3 linked regions of the Elephas maximus indicus genome follow. The protein of the gene in region 1 binds, or shares a complex with, the protein of each later gene. Links are inferred from orthologs where the notes say so. Each region holds a gene or a part of one and is shown in the gene's direction. Other genes may lie near its edges.

Region 1 (7,652 bases):
GTTGTCTAATTCTGTAATTTTACTGTTAATCTTTTGGATTTCTGAATGCTGTCTGTCTGTGGATTCTTGCAGCTTATTAATTTTTCCACTATGTTCTTGAATAATCTTTTTGATTTCTTCAACTGGTTTATCAGCGTGTTCCTTCGCTTTTTCTGTAAATTGCCTTATTTCATTTCTGAGGTCATCCCTGATTCTTGAAGCATTCTGTAAATTAGTTTTTTATATTCTGCATCTGGCAATTCCAGGATTGTATCTTCATTTGGGAAAGATTTTGATTCTTTAATTTGGGGAGTTGTAAAAAAAATTTTTTTTTTTTTTAGAAGCAATCATGGTCCGCTTCTTTATGTGGCTTGATATCGACTGCTGTCTCCGAGCCATCTCTAAGATATTGTAATGATTTATTTTATATTTGCTCACTGAGTCTTATCTTGTTTTGTTTTCTTTCAATATACGTAGATGGGCTACTAGATTGCGCTGTCTTGATTATTGTAGCCTTTGAATCACTTATGTCCTATTACCAGCTGGTTTGGGTTGTTAGCAGATATATAAGCCTAAGAGTCCATTCACTATTCTTGAGTAGAATCTGATTTTGGGTTACCAATTGTGTGGTGTAGACTATCACCTATTCACTTAAAGGAGTAGTGGTGATAGTCGTGTGCACCAGATCCTAGTAGCGGCAGGGGGTCACACTCCAGGGGGGGCAGGATGCTGACAGGCTTCCCCCAAGTGCCATTGAGGTAGGTGTGTCTCTATTCCTAAAGCACTTTGGTGGGTGTGCTCTGCAGCTGTACCTTAGGCACCCAATGCATATACCTCTACAGATTGGGAGGTGTCACTATCCTCAGACCCCTATGGCAGGAGGCTAGGTGGTTTGGGTGGAGCTTCAGCCCTCAGTTCCCCATTGTGGGTCAGTGAAGGCTCTGTTTAATAGGTAGAGATATCAGACCAGGGAAACTTGTCTTTCCAGTAATGGGATAAAACAATTACAGTCAGATCACTATCAGAATTGCCTTTGCATTATAATAGCCACCTTGTTGCCTGTGGGGATGAAAGCCCTAGATCGTGGATCTCATATGCTTGGCTGGAGCTGGTTCTGTGTTTTTATTCCAATTTCAGGAAGTCAGGGAAGGATTTTTGGTCCCTGTTTTTTTTGTAGCTGCTTCTCTCAGGCCAGGAGAATAGGTTAGGAAAAGACAACAAAACAAAAAATTGCAGAGCACTTCACTCTCTGGCCCAGGAAATTCCAATGTTAATGAAGTGGCCTGGGAAGAAGATGGGAGGGATCAGATAGATAGGAGAGAGTAGCACCCAGGAATATAGACCAAGTTACTTATCTTACTTAGTGATGACTGTTTTATCTGAGATTCCGGAGGGGTGTATAGCCTGTGTGTGTTGGCTGGCTGGGTCGAGATTGTCCCAGAGGGTCAGGCCGGTGTCCTGTGCTTGTGCTGTCTCAGAAGCCGTGGTCAGTTCCTCTGCTTCCAGTGCAAAGCCCAGCGCCAAGTTTCCCCAGCTGGGACGACACACTCCAGGCTCCAAAACCAGTCGCTACCTCCCGGTGACTTCTCCTGTCAGCCACGTTGCTGCGCTGCCTGCGTGCACTGGCTGGGCTTCCCCCGAGGTCATTTCTGGGGGCTAGGGCTGCGTCCCGTGTTCGCACCGTCTCAGGATGCCGTGCTAAGCTCTGCTGCGCCCAGTACAAAGCCCAGCGCCAAGGTTTCCTGACTGGGATGCTGGCTCTTGGCTCCGAAAACAGTCTCTGCTTGCTGGTGGTTGCTGGTTCTCTCGTTAGCCGTTGTCAGTGTGCAGCCTGCTTGCGCTGGCTGAGTCTGTCACTCAGGTCAACTCTTTAGATCTGTGTTTGACAGTCAGGGCTTGTAGATTGTCATGTATGTGATCTATTCACTTGCTTTTCTGAGTCTTTGTTGCAAGAGGGATCCTAGGTAGCTTCTACCTAGTCAGCCATCTTGGCCCCGCCTCTTGAAATGTTTTTTGATGATGAATGCAATGCCATTCTTCTTCAAGTTGTCATTCCCAGCGTAGTAGACCATATGATTGTTTGGTTCAAAATGGCCAATACCAGTCCATTTCAGCTCACTAATGCCTAGGCTATTGATGTTAATGAGTTCCATTTCATTTTTGACAACTTCTAATTTTCCTAGATTCATACTTCATAATTCCACGTCCTCATTATTAATGGATGTTCGCAGCTGTTTCTTCTCATTTTGAGTCATGTCACTTCAGCAAATGAAGGTTCCAAAAGCTTGACTCCATCTACATCATTAAGATCAACTACTTTGAAGAGGCAGCTCTGTCCCTTTCACATTTTGAGTGCTTTCCAACCCGAGGGTCTCATCTTCCAGCACGATATGAGACAATGTTCTGCTCTTATTCAAAGGTTTTCACTGGCTAATTCTTTTGAATTTAGCTGGGTCCTTCTTCCTACTTTGTGTTAGTCTGAAAGCTCAGCTGAAACCTGTATGCCATAAGTGGCCCTGTTGGTGTTGAATACTGGTGGCATAGCTTCCAGCATCATGGTGACATGCAAGCCCCCACCATAGGACAAACTGACAGACATATGGGGGACAATCCACAGTAGCTATTGCCAAAAACTGGGAGTCATCTTTATTCCTCCTTTTCCCTCACAGTATACATTCAGTTTATTACGTAGTGTTTTGAGAGCTGCCTCCAGAATATATCCAAAATCTGACCACTTTTCTCTGTCTTTATAGTTTAAGTCAATAGTGGTTTCCTTTTGCTCTTAGACTGAATCCACACTCCTTACCTTCAGTCCACATCCAAGCAATTGTAAACTGTTTCAACTTACAATGTCTCTGATAACCTGACACTCCTTAGTTTCCATCTTGTCACACAATAGTGCAGGCCTTCCTCATCCTTGTCACGGACTGCCAGACCTTCCAGATTCTTCTCACTGTTGCCGGAGATAAGCACTATGCCACGAAGGAAGAGCAGAAACTCATTTTGGAATCTTACCTGTTGGTGTCTTGTTATTTTTAATCACCTTTATTGAGGTAAAATTTACATACTACAAGGTGCACCAATTTCAAGTGAATGAATTTTTACAAGGGAACATATCGATACAACTGATGCCAGAATTATGATACAGAATGTTTCTGTCATTCTTAGGTGTAAGAAAGTATAATAGCCCAGACTCATAAAGCAAGGGACTCTTCCTTAGGGACTCTATGACAGTTTTCTACAGAAACAACTGTTAGTAACAGGTCAGTTTCCTCTAGGCCAGTCATCTTCTACCTTGACTGTACTTTATAATCAACTGTGAAGCTTAAACATTCCCAACGCACAAGAAGCAACTTGGACCAATTACATCAAAATATTGGGATGGATCCCCGGCATCCACACTTTTAAAAAATCTTCTTAGTGCAGCAAATGTTGAGAACCTTTATCATCTTTTGCTAATGTACTTTTCAGCATCTTCTCCTTCAGATCTCACCTCATAGAACACTTCTAAGACATAGGTCCCCAGGTTTCGGAAAATTCCACCACCTGAAGCAGCTTGCTGGCATGCCCATAACCTTACATTAAAATCCTGGTTCCCCTCTTCTTAACAGCTACCCCAAACTAGAAGAGATTGGTGGAAACTGGTTTAGGAGCCATGTTGACATTCAGGATAATCTTTTAGACCCCATACATACTAACTCCTCTGGATGGAGTTTAACCGCCATTTTCTGACGATGCCATGGATGAAGTTATATGCAAACCCCATTGTGCTAGCATAGTATGATTAAAAATGTTGTTGATAGAACTTGTATGAGCTTCCTACTTGTAACCCCCTGAAAAATAACCCTCCCCTCGCCCTCGCTGAGCAGTCTCCGTGGCAGCAACCTGACTCTTCCTTTCCTTGAGCAACCAAATAAAGGCTCCTTTCTACTCTTTCACTTTGGCCTCTCTTTATTGGCTGAGGTGAGTGGTGACAAGCAGAACCTGGGGCTTCTACCGTGCACAATTTCCACAGAGAATTCTTTCCCTGAATCTCTCTTCTATATTAGGTCTTTCCTTGCTGTTACTACCTTTGCTTGTGTTTTTAGTAATGTCTGTTGCCCCACTAGACCATAAGCTCTCCATGTCTGGCACATAATAATACATGTAAATAAATGAATGCATGTGTAAATGGGAAACCCTGGTGGCGTAGTGGTTATGTACTACAGCTGCTAACCAAGAGGTCGGCAGTTGGAATCCGCCAGGCGCTCCTTGGAAACTATGTGGGACAGTTCTACCCTGTCCTATAGGGTTGCTATGAGTCGGAATCGACTCGACGGCAGTGGGTTTGGTTTTTTGGTTTATGTATAAATGAATGATTGTAACATTGTTTTAAAAAAAACCCAGGGCCGTCGAGTCGATTCTGACTCATAGCGACCCTATAACATTGTTTAGCGTGCAGTAAAAACGGGACGATGCAGGACCCGGCAGTGTTCTGTTCTGTTGTAAATAGGGTCGCTATGGGACCTGGGTGTCAGGGACTATGTAGGGAAAACCCAACCCAGCCATTTCTTTTCGGCGCAGCCGGTGCTGTCCCGCCTCCAAGCGAGAGGCGGCGCTGTGGAGATGCAGCAGTTTCCGGCCGGCTTTTCCTTTCCTTCTGCCGCCGGCGCCGGAACTTCCTGCTTTCGTTGGCCGCTCTGGGATGGCCGCCCCCACAGTAGCTGTTGCTATCTCTTAGTGGTGCCGGAACTTCCTGCTTTCGTTGGCCGCGCTGGGATGGCCGCCACCACAGTAGCTGTTGCTAGCTCTTAGTGGTGGCCCTTGCCCGGCTCGCCGACGGCAGTGCAGCTAGCCCTTTTGTTCTCTTCTCCATCGCGCTGTCCCGAAGGGCGTCGGCTTTCCCGCAGCGAGCAGTATGGGCCGGGAGTCACGGTGAGGCAACGCGCCCAGCGGGGGTGCGGGCGAGTGGCTTCTTCGGTGGAGGGAAGAGGCGGGAGTTGAGGTGGCCAAGGGGCCAGGTCTGGTCCAGCGCGGCCCCACGTGCGGCCGGCGCGGTCCCGCGGCTGCTGGTGGGGCTCGGGGCCCTCGGCTGAGGGAATGGCTGTACTTGATCTGGCTACGGGCACAGGAGTCTCCTGCATTATCGTCAGCCGATTCGAGCCCCTGGAACGGGAACAGCCCTCCCGGGTCGACTATGATTGAGCGCCACTTTCACGCAACCAACCTTGATCATTTCAGTCAGTAGTGATCCCTACTGCTTAGGGTTTGCAACATTTCCTAAGCGCCCTTCAGTCTGTATATTCGTTCTCTGTGCGTGTGTGATATTTTCCAAGTCAGTTGCAAGGAGCATGTGCACATTTTTACATAACCTACAACACCGTATAAGACTAAGCTTTAATTGAGCCACAATAAGTACATGTTACATGGGCATTTATTCTGAAAATAGGTTTCATATTTCTCTGTTACCTGGTTTCAAACTTTTTGAAACCGAAGATTGAGAGATCTTGTTAGGACTGTGAGATCTCTTCAGAACTTTAGATTGTTCATAACTGGTTCAGCACCTTGAGATTTTTATCTTAAAGATGACTGTTTGCAATGTGTTTAGCAGTGATTGAAAGAGCTTTTATTTCTAGGGACCATGAGGAGTTTTTTTAAAAATGTTAACTGTACTTTATTGGGGTATAATTATCATTCAGGGAAATATACAAAGCTTAAGGGTAGAGCTTGATGAAATTTAGCAAATATATAAACCATGTAATCATCGCCTGGGTAAGAACAATGTCACTCTGGCCGCCTTGACTTTTTTGCTATTCCTTGAGCACACCAATTAAGCTTCCTCTTCAGGATCTTTGCGCTTACAGTGCCTTTTGCTTTGAAAGTTCTTCTGCCATATATCTGTATGGTTCCTCCTGTTACTTCCTTCAAAGCCTGCATAACAAATGTTACTTTATTATGGAGGCCTTCCGTAACCACCTGATTTAAAATTGCAAACCTCTCAAGTCACATTATCTTTCCTTTTCCTTTACTCCGATCTATTTTTCTTCATAGCAACACTTGACATATTGTACGTTTATTTCTTTACGTGTCTATTAACTCTTCCTCCACCAAATATAAGCAGCCTGTAGCCCAAAGGCAGAGGCTTGGTCTGTTTTCTTCACTTTCCTTGCTTCTCTTTCAACAGTTTTCCTCCTCTCAACATGTGATGTAGCAAAAAGGTTCATTCTTTACCCCCAATTTAAAAAAGGATTGTGAAAAGAATCTTTTCAGTTTTTAATATGTCTGCTGCTATTTTGGAGGGAAATGTAATAAAATAAAATAGACTCTGTGTGAGCTAAGCTTAATATTTGAAGTAATAATATTCTAGCCACTATCGGAAGCGATCAGCATCACGTGGACGCTCTGGAAGTCGATCTAGAAGTCGTTCTCCCTCTGACAAAAGAAGTAAACGTGGAGATGACAGACGGTCTAGAAGTAGAGATAGAGATAGAAGGAGAGAGAGATCTCGTAGCAGGGATAAAAGAAGATCTCGGTCAAGAGACAGGAAGCGTCTGAGGTAAGACATAAATCTCTAAAAAACTGATGATAAATTAAGCTTCTCCAAAAGTGTGTTTTGGGCTAGAATTTAGTAGCTCCTTTGTAGACCCTCTGCTTTAACCCCAGGTTATTTGATTAGACATAGAAGTAATTCAGCTAGACCAAAAATTCTCAGACAGTATTTTAAGTTCGGAAACATCAGGCTGTCTCCTCTCACCCAGAGAGAGCCCTTAAAGGCCCCTGAGAGAGGGGGAAAAAAAAAATAAGGAGAAGGTAAGGTAATATGACTAGAGGATTCAATTTTAATTATATCCCAGCAGAACTGGAAACTGTTCAGAGCAGCCACTAAACCAGGCAGGAGAAAGAAACAGAGGGCAGAGCCATTTCCAAACCCTGCTTGTTATCTTAAAACATTTTAAATAACTCTTAGATTTAAACCAAAGAATGCCTTAATTTTAATTGTCCTTTTACTTGTTGACATGCTCGCTGGCACCAGTTAAGCAGCCTTAAATTTTTCTAGAAGTGAACATCAGTTTAAGTAAAAGTACTCTACCCTACACCAAAGATAACTTTTCTAAAACAGTTTCTCATTAAATCAGAAGGGAAAAAAAGGCAAGTTTGTACAGGTGCTATGAACTAATGACAGAAAGAACCTTGACTTTATCTTTTTCAAACATTTGGAGAAGAGAGTGCAAAGGTAGTACATGGCACTTAGGGAAAATATTCACCCGTGAGAACGTGGTTAATGCTAACTAATTCAGTTTTATATTTGGTCCCAGGAACAGTGTCATACAGTTCAGTCAAGTACACATTAAGTGAAATTGATCATTTAAGATTTGATTTTTGACTTCCTTCTGTGAAGGTTGAATAATGAGATTTTAGGTAAAGAAGGATTTTGAGATGATATAGCGAAGTCATGGTATTTTATAGATGAGGAAGCCAGTACCCAGAGAGATAGCAGAGTCTGCCCTATGTCATGTCGCTAGTTAGTAGCAATGGGTTTTTAAATCTTCAGATCAAGTAGCCCTGGTGGTGGAATGGTTAAGTGCTTGGCTACTAACTGAAAGGTTGCAGTTTGAACCTACGAGCTGCTCCGCGGGAGGAAAGACCTGACAATTTGCTCCTGTAAAGATTATAGCGTAGGAAACCCTATGGGG
Region 2 (7,616 bases), on another chromosome or scaffold:
GTCTAAGCAGCAGGGCAGGGGTTGCTGGTTGGGGGTGGGGGTCCTAGCGTGCAGGAGCTCTGTGTCCACCGAGTGTCTTCTCATTTCATTTCAGCTCCATTTTACGGAGAGATGGGCAGAGGGGTGGCCATGGGGCTCCCCCCTCCAGATTCTGTAATAAAGCAGTGTGAGAAAGCTCCGGCCTCATGTGTTTGTCTGGGGGAAGGGGAGGGAAGGAAGCTTCCTTTGCGGACCAGGAGATGCTGAAGCTCTTCCTAGACCTCTTCTGTGCGGGGCTGAGAGGGAGGTGGCCTGGACTCAGGGTGGGAAGTCCCTCCCGAAGAAGGAATCCCGAAAGAAGGGTTCCCAGCCACAGCTACCATCCCTCTCAAGCTTAGCGGGCCTCCCTCCTGCTGGCACAGGGCTTTCTCCTCCTTGTGGGGAAAGGAGGGTCAGGGTGGGGGGGGCGGGAGTAGAAGTGGGGTTACCTCTGGTACAGATCGCCCCCACCCCTCACAGCCCTTCTCAAATCCTGCAGAGCACCTCGTCCGGATCCCCAGTCTGAGCCCAGACCCTCAGCCCGCTTTCCCCCTCTTCCCAGGGATTAGCGGGGGCGGCCCGGGATCCGCTCTCGCGGCCGCACGTTTTTTGCCAAAAAAGGCAAGGATGCAGCTGCACGCGCCGCGGGAACATCTGGATCCAATTCCCGGCATGAATGGGTCATGGCCCCGCCCCCTCCCCCGTGATTCACGGGCGGGGGCGTGAATGAGCGTGGAGGGCTAACCCCCGAAGTGGGGAGATGGGGCGGAGCGCTGCACCCCTCACCCAGCGTCCCACGCCGGGGCCCCCAGCCCCCTCGGCGGCCTGCGGTCTGGGCCGCCGCCATCTGACTGGTGGAGGCAGCTTTGCGCGCGCACGCGGCACGCGCGGGCTGATGCGCACACAGAGGACCGCCGGCAGCCGCCCCTCGGTGTGAGGGTGCGGGCGGACCGTGGGCGATCTGTGGGGTGGGGCTCACTCCTAGTCCGGCGGAAACCGCGCGATCAGATGTAGCTCACGTTAAACCTTCCCAGAAACCTGTGGGGCATTACTTCCATTTTACAGAGGAGAAGACCGAGACTCAGGCGGTTGCCCAAAGTCTTGTAGGTAGTCACTAATCCTGGATTCTAATCTGCATTACACTGCCTCCCGGGCCCAGTCCTAAACTATCTGAGGAAAGGGTTGGCATTTTCAACACACCATTCCCAGTGCCCAGTGCGCTTACCATGATTAATAATTGCATGTTTACGTTTTTGTTTCTCTCCTTGACCGTCAGAATTGGGCTGGGGCTTCCCTTGTTTCCCCTTCCATTCCCAGCTCCCGGCACTTACTACAAGTTCGGTGAGTATTTGTCGAGTAGGAGCAGTCCAAGCGTAGAAAACAGGTGGTGCAAAGGCCTGGAGGCCTGAAAACATATGGTGCTTTGGGGAAGCACCAAGTAATTTAATCTGGAAAAAGTGCCAGGAGACTAAAATGGCAGGCAAAGCCCAGGTCACGGAAAGCCAAGTGCCAAGTTAAACAGACCTCACCCTGCGGGTAAAGCAGCTAATGGAAATGTTCAAGCAGGGGCGTGAGATGATCGCAGTTTTGGAAAGATCACTTGGGCTGTGGCATGAATAATGGATTGGAGGAGTAAGATGAGCAAGCTGGTTAGGCGGGTGGTGCAGTGGTCCAGGTGAGAGAGGATGAGGCAGGTGGCAGGTGGCAGTAGGAGTGGAAAAGACAGGACTGATTTGATGGAGTGGGGATAGAAAAGGGGTTTAGGAGGAGGTAGGCATCAAGTTTGAGGCAAAGGGAAGGAATGAATGGCGGTGCTTAAATGTTCCACCCACCTAAGAGGAAGAGATACCCTGGTACGATACCACATTTCATTGATTTCAAGACATTTTCCAGGTTTAAGATCTCAGAATCCTGAGATGCATTTTATAATTGACAGTGTCAATTATAAAACTGGGTCATAATTTGACAGTTTTCCTTTCTTTTTGGAGCTTAAAATAATGGTAAGTTTTACATTTGATGGTATCTCTTATTGGATGAAATAGGACAGATCACCAACCTTACAAAAAATAATAATAATAAACACCCTGAGTTACTCCACTCCAGAATGGAGATTTCTCCCTTCTTTCCTAGGGGCCCAGGAAAAGCCCCAGAGGGCAGCTGTGCCTGGGGTCCCCCATTCTCAAACACTGGAGGTCTTGCTTATATTTTCAGATGCAAATATGATCCTCACAACACCCTCATGAGTAGGCAAGACAAGGGTCATTACCCCCATTTTATTTTTCAAACTTTAAAAACCAGAAGATAATTTTTTTTTTTTTTGCAAAAAGCAACGTGTATTCCTTGTAGAAAAATTGTTATTGTTCTGTGCCCTGAAGTCAATTCCAACTCATAAAAACCAGTCCAGTGCCTACCCTGTGCCTAGCAACCCTATATGACAGAGTAGAACTGCCCCATAGGGTTTCCTAGGCTGTAGTCTTTACGGGAGCAGATCACCAGGTCTTTTCTCCCACAAGCCGCTAGGGGGTTCAATCCACTGACCTTTTGGTTACCAACCAAGCTCTTAACCATTGCTCTGCTGGGGCTCCTTGTAGAAAAATTAGACACTACCAAAGAGTAAAGAGAACAAAAGGTAAAAAAATAACTCCTTGATGCATTACAGCTTTCTAGTCCTTTTTTGTTAAGCATATACATGCATATATATATTTTTTTAGTTTAAATTTATTTTTAAATTAAAAAAATAGTACATGAATACATTAAACAAAACTTTTCACACTGTATTTTGGGTATATACAAAGAAAAACTTTTCTCTCATACCACATGTGCCAGTCCATCTTCTGGAAAACAACCATTGTTTAGTGTTACTTGGATATTCTTACAGAAATCATCTCTGTATATCTTTTATACACACTGTTGAGCATCCACCTTTTTTGACTTTTCCTGGCCATCTTTTCACATGAGTTCACACTGATTTTTTGACAGCTTCATTGAAGTATAATTTACAAACCGTAACATTCACTCATTTTAAATGTATAATTCAATTATTTCTAGTATATTAATAGAGTTGTGGAACTATCACCACCATCCAATTTTAGAACCTTTCCATCACCCCAAAAAGATACTTGGTGTCTATTTGCAGTCACTTCCAGTCTTGCCTCCAACCCCTGGCAACCACTCATCTACTTTCTGTCTCCATGGATTTGCCTTTCTGAACATTTCATATAAATGGAATCATACACTATGTCATTTTAGTATCTAGGTTTTTTTTACTGGCTTTTTTTTTTTTTTTTTTTAACTGGCATTATGTTTTCAAGGTTCCTCCATATTGTAGCATTACGTGGATATGCCGAATTTGGTTTATACACTCACCAGTTTAGGTTGTGTCCAGTTTTTCTGTCAATTGTGAATTATAAACAGATGCCCATATAAGCACACAGCTGTAGGTCTTCATTTCTCTACCTAGAAATGAATATACAGATTTCTTCCCCCTTTTTTTTTCAATGATTGGATGTACTACACTTTATCAATCTAGTCCTCAACTGGAGCCCAGAAACCCTAGTGGTTAAGTGCTACAGCTGCTAATCAAAGGTTGGCAGTTTGAATCCACCAGGAGCTCCTTGGAAACTCCATGGGGCAGTTCTACTCTGTCCTACAGGGTCACTATGAGTCGGAATCAACTCCACCGCAATGGGTTTGGTTGTTTTTGTCTGCTGGAGCCCTGGTGGCATAGTAGTTAAGAGCTTGGCTGCTAAACAAAAGGTTAGCACTTGGAATCCACCAGCCGCTCCTTGGAATCCCTATGGAGCAGTTCTGTTCTTTCCTACAGGGTAGCTATGAGTCAAAATCAACTGGACAGCTAAGGGGTTTTTTGTTTGTTTGTTTTTAAGTCTGCTGCTGTGAACCCTGGTGGCAGAGTGGTAAGAGCCACGTGGGCTAAACAAAAAATTAGCAGTTCGAATCCACAAGTCACGCTTGAAAACACCATGAGATAGTTCTACTCTGTCCTATAGGGTCACAAAGAACCGGAATCAACTCCATGGCAACGAGTTTGGTTTTTGGTTTGGTTGGCACCCCGCTGAAAGGCAATTAAATTGTTTCCATTTGTAAGTTTCTACAAAAAAAAATCTGTTATTATCCCCATTTTACTGAAAAGGACATTGAGGTCCAGAAAAGAGGCAAATGTTGTCAGAGGTCACCCTGAAAGCTAGGGACTCAAGTTCTGATCCTCCAATTCCCATCGCGTGCTCCTCAACTGCTCCTGAATCCAGACAGGATCCCCAGCGGCCCAGACGGCCCCACGAAGCTCCGTGAAGCCCTAAGAAGCCAGCAGCTGAATTCAGGCTCTTGGATTTCCATTCGCCCACCAGAGGAATCTGCAAACCGCTCGGTAGCGGGCCACACACCCCGACCAGCAGGGGGCAATGCTGCCATCGCGATAGCACAGGCTGGCGCTCCTCGCGGTGCCCCTTTTCCTCGAGTCCCCAAGGCACTTCCGGCACTTACGGAACTCTAGTGCAGCCGGACGTGCCGCGTGGGGACGCAGGCGCTCAAGGCGGCGGGAGCTGCTTCTGGCCGCGTCGCTGATCTGAAGTGAGGTACAGCGGCCAAGGGAAAAATGGAGACAATTCTGGAGCAGCAGCGGCGATACCACGAGGAGAGGGAACGGCTCATGGACGTCATGGCCAAAGAGATGCTCACTAAGAAGTCCACGGTGAGTAGGGTCTGGGCCCCTTCCCCGGGTTTAGCCGCCGAGCGCGCTCTTTGGCCTCAGACCCGCCCTCCTCCTGCCCCCCACCCTCCCGGGGGCTCCCTCTCCGAGCTCCGGCCTCGGCAACCTCCTCCTCAGGCCCAGCGCCCCGGCGGCCTCTTCGCTTCTGCCGCTGAACCTGCGAAGGTAAGCTCCGCCCTCGGGCGGCCTTTCCACCCCCAGGCCTGGGACTAACGGCGTCTGTGTCACCGTTTGTCTGTCTTCAGCTCCGGGACCAGATCAATTCCGACCACCGCACACGGGCCATGGAAGATGTGAGTGCTCCGCTGTCCTTTGGTCGGGGGGCGGGAAAGGAGAGGAGCGGGGAGGCGGGCGGAGCACGGGGTCTCACCGGGAGCCCTGGCCAGAGCTCACCTGACTGGCCAGGGTTGTCCGCCTGCAGCCGAACCTGAGGCTCCTGAGCTGCTCCTCCTCACTTTCCTGAGTGGGGAGCGCTTCCTCTTCATTACTCGGAAAGTAATGCCTTCTGTGTCCCTTGGATGTGCGAAAAATAGTGAGGAGGACTCAGTGACTCAGACACAGAAGGTACTGTTGTGTCCCCGCAAAACGAGAATGCTGTGTTAGTGTTTCCCTTCCAGACCTCTCTTTTGAAATGTTTTTGTTTACCAAAGTGCTTTTGCCCAGTTAGATTTTCTTATTTGAAAAAAAGAAAACTAAAGTAAAATGTTGGTAATAAAGTTGGGTGATGGGTAAATGGAGATTCATTATACTACTTTTTCATGTATTTGAAATCTGCTCAGAAAGGATTAAAGGCCTAATTAGATTTTTTTTATTTGCAGGAGATAAACATTACTACCAGTCCTGTCCCTTATCTACATCCCCAAATCCAAAAACAGTTTGTAAATCGATAGGTTTTTTGGTGGCAAAACATAATGTGGCCTCATTTGGCAGCAAAACCTGCCCTGAGCAGATGAGAGGCTTTTTATGGTGTTTCTTATTCCACTTCGCCCTGGTGGCACAGTGTTTAAGCACTTGGCTGCAATTGGCATCCACCAGCTGCTCCTTGGTAACCCTATGGAGCAGTTCCACTCTATCCTATAAGGTGGCTCTGAGTCAGAATTGAGTCAACAGCAACAGGTTTTGTTTTTTTTTTTAGTTTATTATCCCACTTAAGGAGCCATGGTGGGGCAGGGGTTAAGCACTTGGCTGCTAAGAGAAAGGTGGGCCTGTTGACATGGCAATCACTTCTGCTTCCACAAAGATTACAGTTTTGGAAACCCTATGGGGCAGTTCTACTCTATTTTATAGGGTTGTTATGAGTCAGAATCTATTCCACGACAATGAATTTTATGTACTAATTAACCCAATTTGGTATCAATCCAAAGGTTTTAAGTTATGTAAAGATCTTGAAAATTATCTACAAGCCTATATACCACAAAACAATTACTGTTAAAATAAAATTTGTTTACATAGTTTAAATTTTTTTCCAAACTTTTCACCATTTTCCATATTTTTCAATCTAACTGTAGCCCTTTTAAGATTTCGTCAACTGGTTTTGGACCACCACAGGGATGGAACCATTTTTCCAAGCAATTTTGATGCATTTTTATTGTGATTTTTATGTTTTTACTTCTTAAAAATTTCTTTACAATAGAGAGGACTTGTTTATGGTTCTTACTAAGACAGCGTTTGTTTTATTTTAACCCAATCAATATCCGCCTTATTTATCCAGTTTTTAAATATCTCCGCCCTGTTGGGAAGAGTCTCTCAACTCTTTCTTTTGTCTTTACTAGTCTTTTGGTAATTGGCGTAGCCTTATTTCCTTAAATAAAACCTTTTCTTTAACAGATTTATAGAAAAACGCATCAAGTTTTAACTTTTATTTCCATCTGGGTTTGTCCCGTTGTTGTTGTTGTTAGGTGCCATTGAGACAGTTCCGACTCTTAGGGACCTTATGTACAACAGAATGAAACACTGCCCAGTCCTGGGCCATCCTCACAATCTTTGCTATGCTTGAGCCGGTTGTTGCAGCTTCTGTGTTAGTCCAACTCATGGAGGGTCTTCGTTTCTTCCACTGACCCTCTACATTATCAAGCATGATGTCCTTCTCCAGGGACTAATCCCTCCTGATTACACGTCCAAAATACATGAGATGAGTCTCGCCATCCTCACTTCTAAGGAACGTTCTGGCTGTATTTCTTCCAGGACAGACTTGTTTGTTCTTTTGGCAGCCCATGGTAAATTCAGTGTTCTTCGCCAACGGTGTAATTCAAAGGCATCAGTTCTTCAGTCTTGCTTATCTGTTGTTCAGCTTTCGCATGATATGACGTGATTGAAAATATAGTAATCCTCCCTTATCTGCAGGGAATACATTCCAAGATCCCCTGTGGATGCCTGAAACTGGGGATAGTACGGAACCCTATATATACTATTTTTGGTCCTATATATACGTACATAACTATGGTGAAGTTTAATTTATAAATCAGGTACAGTAAGAGATTAGCAACAATAATAAAATAGGATAATTACAATAATATAGTGTAATAAAAGTTATGTGAATGTGGTCCCTGGGCAGGACGGAGTGGGACGGCACAAAATTTCAGTATGCTACTCATATAACACTTTTGGACTGAGGTTGGCCTCAGGTAACTGAAACTGTAGGAAGTGAAACCTTGGGTAAGGAGGGGCCACTGTACCATGACTTGGGTCGGCACACCTTAGTCCTCAAGTGAAATCTTTGCTTTTTAACACTTTAAAGAGGTCTTTTGCAGCAGATTTGTCCTATGCTTCCCTTTGTCACATTCTGGAACAACCAAAGTTTTCACTTTAGGACAAAATTACTCTCTTTTTCCCTTAACAAGTCTTGTATGCTCAGTCTAGCCTAAGTTACTTA
Region 3 (7,927 bases), on another chromosome or scaffold:
TGGCTCCTCCTCCTAGGTACAGTACCTCCTCATGAGGCCCATCTGCACTCCAGTGCTGGAGTTTCAGCAGCTACCCCCTCTATAGTAATAAAAACAAAAACCCCAAAAAAGCTAGAAATAGAACTACCATACAATCCAGCAATCCCACTCCTTGGAATATATCCTAGAGAAATAAGAGCCTTTACACGAACAGATATATATGCACACCCATGTTCATCGCAGCACTGTTTGCAATAGCAAAAAGATGGAAGCAGCCAAGGTGTCCATCAATGGATGAATGGTTAAATAAATTATGGTATATTCACACAATGGAATACTACGCATCAATAAAGAACAATGATGAATCCGTGAAACATTTCATAACATGGAGGTATCTGGAAGGCATTATGCTGAGTGAAATTAGTCAGTTGCAAGACCACTATTATAAGAACTCAAAAAATAGTTTAAACAGAGAAGAAAATATTCTTTGATGGTTATGAGAGAGGGGAAGGAGGGAGGGAGAGGAGTTTTCAGTAATTAGATAGTAGATAAAAACTATTTTATGTGAAGGAAAAGAAAACACACAATACAGGAGAGGTCAACACAACTGGACTAAACCAAAAGCAAAGAAGTTCCCTGAATAAACAGAATGCTTCGAAGGCCAGAGTACCAGGGGCGAGGGTTTGGGGACCACGGTTTCAGGGGACATCTAAGTCAATTGGCATAATAAAATCTATTAAGAAAACATTCTGCATCCAACTTTGGAGAGTGGTATTTGGGGTCCTAAATGTTAGCAAGCAGCCATCTAAGATGCATCTATTAGTCTCAACCCACCTGGATCAAAGGAGAATGAAGAACACCAAAGACACAAGGTAATTCCGAGCCCAAGAGACAGAAAGTGCCACATAAATCAGAGACTACATCAGCCTCAGGCCAGAAGAACTAGATGGTGCCTGGCTACAACCGATGATTGCCCTGACAGGGAACACAACGGAGAACCCCTGAGGGAGCGGGAGAGCAGTGGGATGCAGACCCCAAATTCTCGTAAAAAGACCAGACTTAATGGTCTGACTGAGACTGGAAGGACCCCAGTGGTCATGGCCCCCAGACCTTCTGTTAGCCCAAGACAGGAACCATTCCTGAAGCCAACTCTTCACACAGGGACTGGACTGGACTATGGGGTAGAAAATGATACTAGTGAGAAGTGAGCTTTTCGGATCAAGTAGACACATGAGACTATGTAGGCAGCTCCTGTCTGGAGGGGAGATGAGAGGGCAGAGGGGGTCAGATGCTGGCCGAATGGACATGAAAATAGAATGGAGGGAAGGAGTGTGCTGTCTCATTAGGGGGAGAGCAACTAGGAGTATATAGCCAGGTGTACATAAATTTTTGTATGAGACACTGACTTGATTTGTAAACTTTCACTTAAAGCACAATAAAAAATTTAAAAAAGATGATAGCCTTGGAAACCCTATGGGGCAATTCTACTCTGTCCTACAGGATTGCTATGAGTTGTAATTGACTTGATGACACCCAAAAACAACTTGTTACCTTGAGTGCTCCTGTGACTTGCAAAAAATCTTGAAAAAGGTTGAGAAGACAGGGATGGTAGCAAAGCAAAAAAACCTGTTGCCATTGAGTCTATCCTGGCTCATGGCAACCCCATGTGTTACAGAGTAGAACTGCCCCATTGAGTTTTCTTGGTTGTAATCTTTATGGAAACAGATTACCAGTCCTTTCTTCTGTGGTGCTGCTGGGTGGGTTCAACCTAACCACCAATCTTGAGGTTAGCAATTGAGTACAAGCCGTCTGTGCCACGCAGGGACCTTTGGATGCTACCAGAGTATCTCAATTACTAGGGAGTTATTCTATAAATGGAGTCCACAGGTAGTGCAAACAGTTAACATGCTTGGCTGATAACTGAAAGGTAGGAGGTTCAAACCCACGAAAAGGTACCTCAGAAGAAAGGCCTGGCGATCTACTCCTGAAAAATCAGCCATCGAAAACCCTATGGAGCACAGTTGTACTACGAAACACATGGGGTTGCCATCAGTCAGAATCGGGTTAACAGCAACTGCTTTTATTCTACAAATACCCAGAAAAATAAGAACAAGAACCCAGCTTCCCAGAGACAATAACATTGTTAGAAATATAAATGTCAGAGTCCAGCACAACTCGATGGTGCCCAACTACCACCACCAACTGCTCTGAGAGGTCTCACAAAAAAGACCAATGCTTCTGGTTTGACACAGACTAGAGAAATCCTGAGAGTATGGCACCTGGATACCTTTTTAGCTGAGTAGTCACTCCTGAAGCTCACCCTTTGGGCAAGGATTAGACAAGCCCATAAAACAAAAGGAGACTAAATGGACACACCAGCCCAGGGGCAAGGACAAGAAGGCAGGAGGTGACAGGAAAGCTGGTAACGGGGAACCCAAGGTTGAGAAGAGTAGAGTGTTGACATGTCACGGGGTCGGAAACCAATGTCACAAAACAATATGTGTACTAATTGTTTAATGAGAAATTAGTTTGCTCTGTAAACCCTCATCTAAAGTACAATTTAAAAAAAGAGGAAAATAAATAAAATAGGCTCTCTTGAAAAAAAAAAAAAACAACTGTCAGGTCTCATGGTCAGGTAGAATGTCATTGCAGGCGCAAGGGTGCTTAGCTCCCAAATCCCTTGCTCCGCCATTATGGTAACTCTGACCCTCTGATGCTGCTTTAGCTTCTCCTCTTACTCCGGGGGAATGTCTTCACAGCACTCATCTGTTCTGCTTATTGCCTTCCCTGTGTGGGTCTTCCTGCTTCTCTGCTGCTCTGACCACATCCCACTGTCTGTTCCATAATCATACTCCCTGGGAGAGGCTCTGATGGACTCAGTTAGTCAAACTCAGTCCAGAATGCATAGCTACCCTGCCAGGTCACTTCACAATGTTCTGGCCAGCCTTTGGGCCAGGCTAGCTGGGTCACATGGGACCTAGGCATAAGGAACTTTTTTGGCTACCTGCTTAGAAGAGGACTGTGGGGACAGCAGGGACTCAGAGTCTGCAGGACTGTAGTCCTAAAGGCTGTAGTGCTGTAGGACTGTGTAGCATATCATCACCTATGCTGTGAACTCACTCAGGAATGAAATGGGAACCCAGTTACACATTGCTGGAAACAGCTGTATACTATTTTTGGATAAGAAATCTTTAGCAATGTTTAAAATGAATCTAATAAAACCTGTGTTGTCTATATTATAAAAACGCATGCAACTTCGGTTCTCCAAATAGTCCTCCCCTCCCAAGAACGAGAGCTTCATGAAAAAGATATGCAACTTAAAAAAAAGACAAACTTCTATTTAAAAACTGTTGCTATGGTGGAAACTAGATTGTAAATCTATGTGGGGAGCCAGGATTCTGTAGAACCCAGACTCAACTGCTATGTTTAGAAGCCAAGGTCACTGGGAACATCAAGTCTGAGTTATATTTATGTGTACACATGAGCTTATTATTATTTTTAAATGAGTTAATAAGTCTTTCTAAAATGGGTTTTAATTTTAATACAGCAAACATCAATAAAAAAATTCATATAAACAAGTTATTTGGGGCCTTTGTTAATTTTTGGGTAAAGGGGTCCTGGGACCAAAAAGTTTGAGAACCACTGTTCTCTAGCATTCAATATTAATATCATACCATCTTGAGTCTGTCTCCTCTTAGTTGTGTCTGTCTTGTTAACTGCTGGGTCGCCAGAGCCTAGCACAATGCCTGACACCTAGTAGGCGCTCAACAGCTATTTGTCCAATTAAAAAAGAGAATTCTGAAAATGGCTCTTTTCAACCCCCCCCCCCCCAAAAAATCAAACCCATTGCTGACAAGTCGTTTCCGACTCATCGCGACCTTATAGGACAGAGTGAAACTGCCCCATGGTTTCCAAGGAGTGGCTGGTGGATTTGAACGGCCAACCTTTTGGTTAGCAGCCGAGCTCTTAACTACTGCGCCACCAGGGCTCCTGATTTTCAACAGTGTATCTAATTTCTGAATAAAGTTCTGTTTAGAGGAAAAGCATGTTGTGTCTTTCTAGAAGAAACCCAAAAGAACGGATTCAGTCGCTTGGCTAGTAAAGCCGATGTTTACACTCGGAAGTTCCTTTAAGTTTCAGGTTTGGGATTTGAACATCCCTGAACCCTGGAGTCGCTGAGTCGGAATCGACTCCACGGCAGTGGGTTTTTTTTTTGTGGGGGGGAACCCTGGAGTACATAAGGCAGGCAACTGCCGCCCCGCCTCACTCCCCAGAGTCGATCTCCAGCCCAAGGAAGGAAAGCGAACGAGGGCTGGGGGGCGGGGGGGAAGACCTGGAAAAGAAGGCTGGTCCTTCTACCCATCACTCGTTCATTCATGCACTCACTCACTTGTTCAACGCCCTAAGTACCAACCCCAGTGCTAGGCGTGTAGACTACCGAAATAAACAAGAGCTATTTTTTTAAGCTTCTATACTAACGACACCAGAAACAAATAACCAAAAGACACAGTTCGTGTGCGGGAGAAGCCTTCGGTTGCAGGAGCCGCGTCTCTTTCCCTGGGCTAGGGAAACCTGTCCGGCGGTCCCACCCATTCCCCACGATGTCGCTCGCCGAGAAGGACGATTCCCACGCCTTCGGGGGACCGCCCTCCCAGCCCGAGGTCCCCTAAGAGCGGTGGAACGGCAGGGTGCTGTCGCCCCTCGCCCCGGCCCGCAGGGGGCCCACGGAGCGTCCAAGCACGGGAGCACGCGCCCCCCGACACCCCGCCCCGGCCAAGTGCCACCGCCGGCGCGCAGGCGCATGCTGACGCCATTGGGGGCGTGCCGGCGCGACCCGCGACGTCGCGACGTGCCGACTATGGCGGCTGCGTCAGCTTGAGCGGGGTTCCGTTTGGAAGTCATTTCCTGACGTTGCCGCGGGAGCCGCAGTCGCTTCAGAACCGCTTGGCGGCGGCGGCGGCGGCGGCGGCGGCGGCGCGCGTGCGCTCCCGCGGCGCCCTGGACGGAGGCCGGCAGAGCGAGTCAGGTGGGCGGCGGCGGCGGACGGCGGCGGCACGCGCGCGGCGGGCGGCGGGCGGCTCCGCGTCCCGGGGGCTGCTGGGGCGCCGCGGGAGGCGGGCCGGGGGCGCGGCGGCCGCGCGGACCTCGCCGTCTCTGTGTCCCTCCAGCACATCGCGGCCTCTTTGCTCACGGGGACCCTACCCCGCGGCTAGGTCGGAAACATGAGCGGCAACAACTTGAGTGGGAACGACGAGTTTGATGAGCAGTTGCGGATGCAAGAATTGTACGGAGACCCGAAGGACGGCGACCCCCAGGAAGATCCCGGCGGAGAAGCCGATTCTTTGGGGCAACAGCCGACTGACACCCCCTACGAGTGGGATCTAGACAAGAAAGCTTGGTTCCCGAAGGTAAAGAGTGACATGGGTGCCACTGCAGAGCGGGCCAACCTTGCGGGACACTCCTTTTACATTTTCTCTGCTGAGATCCTGAGTTAGAGTCCCATGGATAGAGACATTGCTTTTTGTTGTGTCTGTTGTAGAACCGATGTGTAAAACCGGTTGCCGTCTAGTAGATTCCGACTTAGCGACGCTATGCCTAGGTACAAAATTTAGTAGGAAAGGAAAGAGTGGCGCAAAGTTCATTCAGTAGAGATATGTAAAGGACTACTTTTTTTTTTTTTCATTAATCAAGAAGATGTATTTTGCACATCGTCCATAAACTAAAACTCTGAATTCCCTGGATAAGTGAGGTTGGCTACCTGAGATCAGCAGCTACTAAATTTGTTCTTGGTGGTTTTCCTTTTTGCAATAAAAAGCAGTCACTAATGTAATAACCAACTGTGACCTTCATATGTAAAACTAGTAAGGCACAGAAGAGACTTAAGGATTACATTTGTGACATCTCCCTAAAGATTTACGTTTCTTTACACACCGGTTCATCTCAAAGCGACCCTATAGATGAATAGATGTGTAAAGGAGCATAAATCTTTAGGGAGATGTCACAAATGTAATCCTTAAGTCTTTTCTGTGCCTTGTTAGTTTTCTCTGTGAAGGTCATAGTTGGTTATTACATTAGTGACTGCTTTTTATTGCAAAAAGGAAAACCACCAAGAACAAATTTAGTAGCTGTTGGTCTCCGGTAGCCAACCTCACTTATCCTGGGAATTCAGAGTTTTAGTTTATGGACGATGTGCAAAATGCATCTTCTTGATCAGTTTTTTTTTAAGTAGCCATTTATATATCTTCACTGAATGAACTTTGCGCCACTCTCTTCTTCCCTACTAAATTTTGTACCTCGGCATGTATGGTAGAGCCATAAAAGCACAAAATGTGGATGGAAGAGTTCTGCGTATGTTTGTTTGAAGTACTTGGAACATATTAGGTATTTTCTGTCAGCTCGGAAGTAAAATAACTAGTGTTAAACTTGGTTCAGTAAGCATGGTGGTAAAAGTACCCTGTTAATCTAAGCGTCATATGGATGGGAAGAAAAGGATATGATAGCACACTAATTGACTTGGAAGCCAATGATAAAAAAAAGTATCTCCGTGGTGTAACTTGACTGTTATTGAAAATGTTCTTCATTCCAACTTTTTTCTTTCTTGTTTCATATTTGTCTGTATATTCTAATCCTACCAAATTGTTAAGATTTACTATTTCGCTCCTCTAGTGGCAGTGCCAGCTGGGGTACAAATTTGGTTTCTTCCGCCTTCGGAGTACTTTTAACGGTAGTCTGGTAATGGATTAATTTGTGACTCTGTTTTTTATGCTGTGGACGCCCATAGTTCTTCAAACTTTTTTTGTTTCCTAATTGCTATGTATGCCTAATAATCGATTGGCAAGAAGATATAACAACATTTTTTTCTTCGGGCAGTAATGCTTTTCCCTAAAAGTCAGGTAGATCGATGTGAGTTGGGTTTGTTTGACACTAAACGATCTTGTGATTCAATTAGTGATAGAGTTAAAATGAATATTGAGTTTTACCATTCTGTGTACGCTAAATCAGGATTCCATTACTGCATGCTCTCTGCATGCAGATACTTAAGTAGTTAGTGTACCTATACACTTGTGTGACAGAAACCCTGGTCGGGTAGTGGGTAAGTGCTGTGGCTGCTAACCAAAGGGCTGGCAGTTCGAATCTGCCAGGCGCTCCTTGGAAACTCTAGTGGGCAGTTCTATTCCGTCCTATAGGGCCACTATGAGTCGGAATCGACTCGATGGCACTAGGTTTGGTTTTTTGGTTTATACGCTCTTGTGTCTATATAGTAAAAGAAAATTTGATTCTGTGTCTTAGGTTATTTGTATGTTTGTCTACAGCATTTCAGGTTGACTGTTGGTTTTTGATCTGCTTTACTGTTAACTGCTCCTTCATTACATGTACCTGTGGTCTTATTCAAGTAGAATGTGGAGAAGAAGTAATTTATAAATGCAACAACTAAAAAAGGTGTCAACATCAATTTACAATGCCTTAATAGTATCTCAGACTTTTGTGTTAATAATCCAAGTACCCGTGTTTCTTTATTCTTTATCATTTCAGGCACAGTGTACTATTTAAGGTAACTAATCTTGCATTAAGGATCCCTGGTGGCACAGTGGTTAAGCGCTCAGCTGCTACCTGAAAGGTCGGCTGTTCGCACCCACCAGCCACTGTAGGGGAGGAGAAGGCTGTGGCAGTCTGCTTCCTTAAAGATTATAGCCTTGGAAGCCCTATGGGGTAGTTCTACTCTGTCCTATATGGTTGCCATGAATTGGAATCGACTTCATTGCAACGGGTTTGGTTTTTTGGAATCTCGCATTTACGCTTTAGTTAGTACAAGTGTTACCCACAGAAAGCCTTCTATGTTAATTCGTGCGACTGAATATGCTGTAATTTAACACAGTTGAAACTTCTATGAGAGAAAATAAACTTGAATTTCTGTATGTGTGCTGCATTTCTTGTTTAGATCACTGAA

Evidence for each region.
Region 2: DDX46 (region 1) and SF3A3 share a complex: the UniProt entries of both Homo sapiens proteins name them as parts of the 17S U2 SnRNP complex. The link is inferred for Elephas maximus indicus from reciprocal best matches to the Homo sapiens genes DDX46 and SF3A3.
Region 3: DDX46 (region 1) and HTATSF1 share a complex: the UniProt entries of both Homo sapiens proteins name them as parts of the 17S U2 SnRNP complex. The link is inferred for Elephas maximus indicus from reciprocal best matches to the Homo sapiens genes DDX46 and HTATSF1.

Annotation. Positions count from the first base shown.
Region 1 is NC_064820.1:147,205,450-147,213,101, forward strand, and holds the start of DDX46 (probable ATP-dependent RNA helicase DDX46), read left to right. Parts: upstream 1-4,647; 5' UTR 4,648-4,876; coding exon 4,877-4,893; intron 4,894-6,325; coding exon 6,326-6,514; intron 6,515-7,652. UniProt on the Homo sapiens protein: Component of the 17S U2 SnRNP complex of the spliceosome, a large ribonucleoprotein complex that removes introns from transcribed pre-mRNAs.
Region 2 is NC_064821.1:79,566,920-79,574,535, reverse strand, and holds the start of SF3A3 (splicing factor 3A subunit 3), read left to right. Parts: upstream 1-4,516; 5' UTR 4,517-4,630; coding exon 4,631-4,726; intron 4,727-4,945; exon of another isoform or gene 4,946-4,989; coding exon 4,990-5,037; intron 5,038-7,616. UniProt on the Homo sapiens protein: Component of the 17S U2 SnRNP complex of the spliceosome, a large ribonucleoprotein complex that removes introns from transcribed pre-mRNAs.
Region 3 is NC_064846.1:19,395,086-19,403,012, reverse strand, and holds the start of HTATSF1 (HIV Tat-specific factor 1), read left to right. Parts: upstream 1-4,834; 5' UTR 4,835-5,005; intron 5,006-5,093; exon of another isoform or gene 5,094-5,192; 5' UTR 5,193-5,201; coding exon 5,202-5,387; intron 5,388-7,918; coding exon 7,919-7,927. UniProt on the Homo sapiens protein: Component of the 17S U2 SnRNP complex of the spliceosome, a large ribonucleoprotein complex that removes introns from transcribed pre-mRNAs.